Danio rerio: one gene and its partner. The protein of the gene in region 1 interacts with the protein of each later gene in a pairwise test. Links are inferred from orthologs where the notes say so. Each region holds a gene or a part of one and is shown in the gene's direction. Other genes may lie near its edges. The genes, in order: topbp1 and cip2a.

Evidence for each region.
Region 2: the proteins of topbp1 (region 1) and cip2a interact in a two-hybrid assay, tested with the Homo sapiens proteins (2 studies listed by BioGRID). The link is inferred for Danio rerio from reciprocal best matches to the Homo sapiens genes TOPBP1 and CIP2A.

What each region holds. Positions count from the first base shown.
Region 1 is NC_133199.1:10,074,601-10,078,431, forward strand, and holds part of topbp1 (DNA topoisomerase 2-binding protein 1), read left to right. Parts: intron 1-456; coding exon 457-580; intron 581-2,383; coding exon 2,384-2,548; intron 2,549-2,642; coding exon 2,643-2,739; intron 2,740-2,972; coding exon 2,973-3,168; intron 3,169-3,831. UniProt on the Homo sapiens protein: Scaffold protein that acts as a key protein-protein adapter in DNA replication and DNA repair. Composed of multiple BRCT domains, which specifically recognize and bind phosphorylated proteins, bringing proteins together into functional combinations.
Region 2 is NC_133199.1:29,181,150-29,184,980, forward strand, and holds part of cip2a (protein CIP2A), read left to right. Parts: intron 1-2,177; coding exon 2,178-2,272; intron 2,273-3,018; coding exon 3,019-3,115; intron 3,116-3,201; coding exon 3,202-3,324; intron 3,325-3,458; coding exon 3,459-3,604; intron 3,605-3,678; coding exon 3,679-3,754; intron 3,755-3,831.

The sequences.
Region 1 (3,831 bases):
AACTTAATATATGAATTAAAAAGCAATACCTTTTTAACTTTTTATTTAAAGTTGACAATGCAAATCCAACTAGATCCACTTATTTGGTAAACAAAATTCTCTCATATAATAGATCTACTAAAAGACAAAATATGACTTTACAATCTGTATTGTAAAGCAATCATATGAACATTTTAATATTACTATTATTACATCTCAATAATATTAGTGAAATCAATTTAAACACTGGATTAATATAAATGTACACACATTTATACAAGTAAATAAATAGACTAAATGATGGCCTAAAAATATGCAGAAATCTGTGGATTTCTGTGCGCTCAGATTCTGTGTGGCCTAGTCATAAGTTACTGAGAAGGTAATAAATCAACAAAAAATCTAATTGGCAGCTAAGATGCTGGTATTATGTGTTTTAGGATAAAGCAATGGGGTCTAATGTCATGCTCTCTGTTTCAGATGGTCTTGTGACGACTCGGTCACTCATTACATCTACCAGGGGAAAGTGGGAGACAACAGTAAAGAATACAGAGCTGTCAAAGAGAGAGGACTCTATATAGTTTCACAACACTGGCTACAGGCTGTAAGTATATGAAGTTACCTAATGAGTAGATATACATTAAGCATTCATTAGAGTTTAAAAACAAAACTTAAAGCATTGCCTCATTGTTACACAATGTCAAAATGTATTTGCATTTTCAAATATACAAATAATTTCAGTTACTTTCTTACTCCCAGGGCCATTTTAAATCGAAATTGATATTTAGCCGCACCATGTTGGTGTTTCGTTACATCTAATCTTTTTTATGAGGTGGGAAGATTAGGACATACACATACACACTGCAGACAATTTAGCTTAGCCAATTCACCTACAGCGCATGTCTTTGGACTTGTGGGGGAAATCGGAGCACCTGGAGGAAACCCACACAAACACGGGGAGAACATGCAAACTCCACACAGAAATACCAGCTGACCCAGCTGAGGTTTAAACCAGCGAGCTTCTTGCTGTGAGGTAGAGGTCTGCATTATAAATATAAATAAATATAAATAATCAATATTATTATTATTATTCATTTCCGAAAAGAAAACGGGAAGGGTCGGGCAGCGGGACAACAAATACTTAATATATGCGGGAGCGGTCGGGTTCGGGCTAAAACCTGGCAGGAGCGGGATTCAAAATATTGTCCCGCGCAGATCTCTACTGTGAGGCGATAGCGCTTCCCACTGCACCACCATGTAATAAAAACAGTTGTTTGTTACAAAGTATTTAATTCAGATATTGCTATTATTAAAGATACATTTTGAGCATTTGATGATGGGAAAATGCACCAAAATTTTCAAAATGTATTCTGAATAGAATGACAACGATCTAAAAAAAATAGCACGTACAATTCAATATCAAAACCATTAAATAAACCCCTAATGTTCTATTAACACCATAGAAAGAGGACACGTACCACAATACAACAGGTGTACATGACTGTAAGCTGACAAATTGACTGTTGGAGCTCCTGTTTGGCCATTTCAAGATTTTTTTCTGTGCTTACCAGTTATTATATGTATGTAAATGACTACACCATGCTAAAATATTCATTTGCTGTGAAAGATTTTGAGAAATAAATGACGAAGTAAATGATGAAAAAAAAAAGTAAGTAAAAGCTGAGAAGCTCTTAAATAAGTTAAATTTAGAAGCTCAAGACATAATCTTTAAACTAAAAACTTTTATTAAAATGTTGACAGTGGTTTGTGATATAAGAACTGCCACAGAGAATTAATTTTGATTTGATGATTGATTCAATGATTGATTTGAGGTAGCCTGCTATTTTTATTTGATGGAAGTAAAAATAGCCTATGCTGGTTTAAAAGGATTCACGAAGTGTTTTCGTTTTGTAATCTACATTTGCAATTTAAGTGAAAAATATCTAGTGCAGGCATTTATTTTTAGCCTTTTATTTTGTTTAATATTTTTTCTGTGCTGTTGGAAACACTGCAGGTGCTTTGAGATGTTCTGTTGATAATATGTTCGCATGTTAAAATAAATCAGTATTTTAAAATGCAATATTTAACGTGTCAGACACAAAATAGACACGTCAATTATTTTTTAAAATTAAATAATAATTTAATATTAATCTGACCACTTAATCATTAATATTGGGTTAACGAGTGGTGGTTGTTGGTTTGCAAAATTAACCGAAATGAGTATTTCTAGTTTCTTTTATCCTTGTTTATGTAAACCATTTTGAATTACTATTGTGTTTGAAATGTGCTACTGTATATAAATAAACTTGCCTTGCCTAATAATGGACATTAAAAATTGAAAGTAAATAATTTAACAGTAGTGCAAAGCTGGGGAATTCATTACATTCACTCACCATTCCTTTTTCAGTGTGCAGATGAGCAGAAGCATGTGTCGGAGTCGCTCTACCCTTTTACATTCAACCCTAAAATGAGCCTCACCATGAGTCAGATGGCAGATTCCACTCAGAGATCACCTCCTTCTGCCACCCCCCGCACCAGACTGAGAGCTTTCGCTGAGAATGAGGAGACCAGGGTGACCATTCATAACTTTACCACCAATCAATCCCAGCTTATCAAGTTTTTATTAAAGGTTATATCTTGTATATATTTATTCTTTATTTCTAAAGTTGGGCCCTGATGATGACATCACCGACGTCTCAACTCCTAAGCAAGGCAGTGTGGGAGAGCCTGAGAAAGATCAAACCATCAGCACCGAGAAGAAAAGCAAGTCATCTTTAAAGACATGTCTTTGATTTATTTATTATACATCTCTCTCTCTCTCTCTCTCTCTCTCTCTCTCTCTCTCTCTCTCTCTCTCTCTCTCTCTCTCTTTCTCTCTCTCTCTCTCTCTCTCTCTCTCTCTCTCTCTCTCTCTCTCTCTCTCTCTCTCTCTCTCTCTCACTGATCTTAAGTTAATTGACTCTTCCTTTAATTTTCTTATATTGTGCCTCCCTCAGATCTCACGGAAACACTGGAGATGAGGGAAAGTCTTCAAAGGCAGCTTCAGGAGATCATGTCTGCCACTAAACTAACCAGCGGTCGTCGAGGCTCCTCGCGGTTGGCCAAAACAGGCCCAGGGGGGCTGGACTCTCCCCACACCCCGGACAGCCTGGGGCGGATGAGCAGACGCAGTCGCAATTTAGAGGCCATACGGTATAAAAACAAGACTACACAGAATACTGTTTGATTCTCTTATTGTCTCAAAGCTTTTACCACTTGAGAGTATACATTGCATTTTCTGGTTGTTCACTTGAGAATTTAGACAGACAATGATTTTGATGATTTCTGTTGATGTGCATCAGATGCAAGGACTTAAGTCTTTTAATTTTTCAAAACTACATTTTAGGCCTTACAAAGTCTTAGGGCTCTAGTTTAACAATCTAGGCACACGGCGCATAAGCATTTACGGTGTGTCCGTGGTGGACTTTGTAAGTGGAAACCTGACTGCTTCACTAGCGATAAAACAGTTAATCAAACCTTATTCACCGCGAGGATAAAGAATGAGCCTCCTTTCATTTTCTTTCTCTTTACTTTTACTCTCTCTCTTCGTGGAAAGGAAACAGTGTTGTACGCTTTCCACTGAAGACATTCTTTAGCCTACATATTTAATTTTGTTTGTTAAGAACAAAGATTTGTTTTAAAACTATTTCTAAATTCAGGTCTAATTTCAGTCAAAAAACTTGAGTTATATCCTAACACATGTCCTATTCTTATGCCCCGTATGGTGATGCATACGTCTCCAAAACCAGTCAGGTGGACAAATCTAAACTTGTTTTTATAAAAAAATATAAACATGCATATAATAATTAAAACTGT
Region 2 (3,831 bases), about 19 Mb from region 1:
CAGTATGAATGTGAAAAATATGAATGGAATTCGGACGTACTACATCCGCCAGTTTGACATAGTCACATGACATACCTGTGTAATATACGTCGCTTTACTCCCATTCATGAATTCGCTCGCGGGGCATCATGGGATAGCGCAGCATGCATGGGATGCTCACTCCAGAATCTCGCCAGAAGTAGTAATTCTATGAATTCGGACATACTACTCGGCTTACATACTGATTTTAGCGTACTATATAGTATGGAAGTATGCGGTTTCGGATGCAGCCATAGTGTTGTTTTAAACACGGCATGTTAGGAAGTTAATTTTAAACCTCAAATTGAATATATCCTTATTTTAATGAAGCAATATTGATTCTTAAATCCCAAAATCAATCTTTTAGTCGAGGGGTTTTAAACTGAGTGAAAATAAAAATATTTTTAAAAAGTTACAAATAATTCAAATAAATCAAGTATTAAATTGCTAAAAATAATATTTATATTAATTAGTGGTGGGGCGGTTCACAATATCTGGTCATGGTTTTTGGTTTGATTCAGTTTACAGTGTTAAAAACAAAAAAACAAAAAAAACAAAAACAGATTGTAACACTTGTGTACTATTGGGGTGTCCAAACTCGGTCCTGAAGGGCTGGTATTCTGGAGAGTTCCAACCCTAATCAAACACACCTAAGCCAGCTAATCAAGGCTATCTAGAAACATCCTTGCAGGTGTGTTGAGGCAAGTTGGAGCTAAAATCTACAGGATACTGGCCCTCCTGGACCGAGTTTGGACACCCCTAAATTAGAAACGCTATACATCAGCATAAAATACATAGCCTTATAATAAAATTTTTATATAGTATTTTAGTTATTCTCAAGTACATGTATTCTAATTTCAGCCTTAAAATTTAATCGAGTATTTTGTTGTTGATTAATGGCAATGACCACAGTGCCTTAATTTTAGATACAAACTTTAGTCTTTTGATGTTGGCTTTTAAATGAATTCTAAATTGTTATAAATGAATCATAAAATGTTAAATATACTGTTTATTATCATTGTTTATCCTAAAATGTTGATTATTAAATATATTGTAATTTTTTCCTTGTGTTTTTATTTATTTTTATTCACTATTATGTTGTTTGTTTTCATATGTTGTATTTAATGTAAACATCACAAATACTTCGACAATAAATATGTAACATTTAAGCTAATTTAATGTAATTAAATGGCGGCCTGCTGACTTTTTGGGTAGGGCTGTCACCTCACTGCAAGAAGGTCACTGGTTTGAGCCTCAGCTGGGTCAGTTGGCATTTCTGTGTGGAGTTTGCATGTTCTCCCCGTGTTCACGTGGGTTTCCTCTGTGTGCTACTGTTTTTACCACAAGTCCCAAGGCATGCAGTATGTGTGAATTGAGTAAGCTAAATCGTCTGTTGTGTTTGTGTGTGTATGAAAGTGTTTAAATGTTTTCCAGTGATGGGTTGCAGCTGGAAGGGCATCTGCTGCGTAAAACATTTGCTGGATAAGTTGGCGGTTCATTCCGTTGTGGCGACCCCTTATTAATCGAGGGACTAAGCCGAAAAGAAATGAACAATTTAATTTAATTTAATTTAGTGAGTGAACATTTGATTATTAAAAATTTCAAATAAATATGTAAATGATTAAATCCTGCACTATAATGAGTAAAAATGCAATAATGTAACTTCACAGAATTTAAATAATTTCTATAAAATATTTAGAACCTATATACGAGTATTAGAACGTGAGTCTTACAAGACACTATATTATATAAATACATTTTATGAAGGGGTTACCTTACATGATGGTAATCATATATGTTGATATATTCATGGTATCCAAAAGATTACAAAAAAGCAACTGTTTTTGGCGAGAGACTTTGTGTTTTGATACTTTTACAAGAAACAGTCTCATATTCAAAAGCTGCCCAGTTTATCAGAAGATTAAACAAATTTTGATGCTCTGAAAATCAGTGTCATGTAGCATAACATTTACACGGCAAGTCTATAAGATCTACAGCTCTTTAGTCAATAGAGAACTCTGTAGAAGGTTAGTGAGGTTGTCAGTGATGTCATAATCATTTAATTTACTTCAAAAACATCAAATATAAAGATGATAGAAGTTATTAAAATCTATTTGTTGTTGTGGTCGTGTGTATAATATTTCTAATGGTCTCCACAGTGCCTCAATGTCCTGCAACGACTGACTTACAACGTGAGGACTCTGCATTGCGCCTCTCACATTCACGAACTCATCAGCTTCTTAATGCAACATGTGTAAGAGCCACAACATTCCCTCTTTTCTTGCAGATGTTTGTATGATGTGGATGAATCAGGCACTTTTGAGCGCAGCAGACTTCATATTGATAGTGTAGAATATTGATCTAAAATTCTAGTAGAACAGTTATAATGTAACAACACTGTTCTGATTCAAGTAAATATATTATTCTGTATTCTTTAAATACTTTAAGTGTTGTGGGTGCTAATGATGAAAAGAAATTCAACATTGCTAACACAAGAATAATTTAAAAACCTATTTTATTTTGTATAATAATACTTTGATATAGTATTACAATTTTATTCCAGTATTTTTGATCAAATAAATAGCATTTGAGGCTTTTAAAAATATCTTAACTGGCGTTGAGATGTATAAATGAATACTTAAAGTGTATGAATTAATACTGAAACTAGTTGTTAATTTGTATGCAAAACTGTTCTGTGGTGTCTTGTCTGAGAAAAACTTTTAGGTATTGCAGAGGAAGTAAGGGCTGTGTGTGTGTGTGTGTGTGTGTGTGTGTGTGGGGGGTGTGTGGGGGGTGGGGGTGGTTAGGGGGGGGTGGAAAACCACGAAACTTGTTCTGTAATTTTAATGGCGAGGGCTAATAGCTGGCAAGTAAAATACAAATTGTGATTGTACATGAAAAAAATACATCTTTTTTTATTATATTCAAATAATTTTAAAAGAAATGCTGAAAAAGTGTTTTAATAAATATCTAATATCTAATGCTTATGTTTGTCCCTAGCCAGTCCAGTAATGATGACATTGTAAAGGCCTGTCTGGGCCTGGTGGCCAACCTCTGTCGACATGACGTAACAGTGCAGGCACACATCAAATCACAGGTGAAAATCAACATCAACTCTCACTCCCACACTCTCAATGTGAACTTAGAAGTTTAGATGATTAATATTATCGCCTTTTTTTGCAGAGTAATGTGAAGGCGTTTTACAGAGCCTTGATTAATTTCCTGGGTCATAACTGTCTGACAGTAGTTGTCTTTGCGCTGTCCATTTTATCAAGTTTGACTCTTAACGAAGAGGTTGGGCAGAAGGTGAGTCAGGATGCTTATTTGTAGGTCGTTTGCTTTGTATCTTTTTGTCATCTGGTCCTGTGGCTGGAAACTTTTAAGTGGCCCCTGTTGTTGTTTCCATGTGTGGTATTGAGGTTGTATCTCTGTTTTTGCAGCTCTTTAATGCAAAGAACATTCATCAGACTTTCCAGCTAATTTTTAATATCACGGTCAACGGAGATGGCACGTTAACCAGGAATTATGCTGTGGACTTGTTAGTGGATCTCCTGAAGAACCCCAAAATTGCTGATTACTTGACTAAGTATGTTTGTGAGAGTTTTTGTTTGAAATGCGTTTCTTATTTCGGAAACTTATTTGTATCTTTCTCAACACTAGGTATAAACACCTCTCGGTTTGTCTGTCTGAGGTTCTCGGGTTGCTGCACAGCAAAGATCCGGATACTGCGTCAAAGGTGAAATGCATAATACAGTTTGTAGAAATAATCAATACATTTGTAGGCAATATTTATGTATTTTCAAGCTTTTGTAT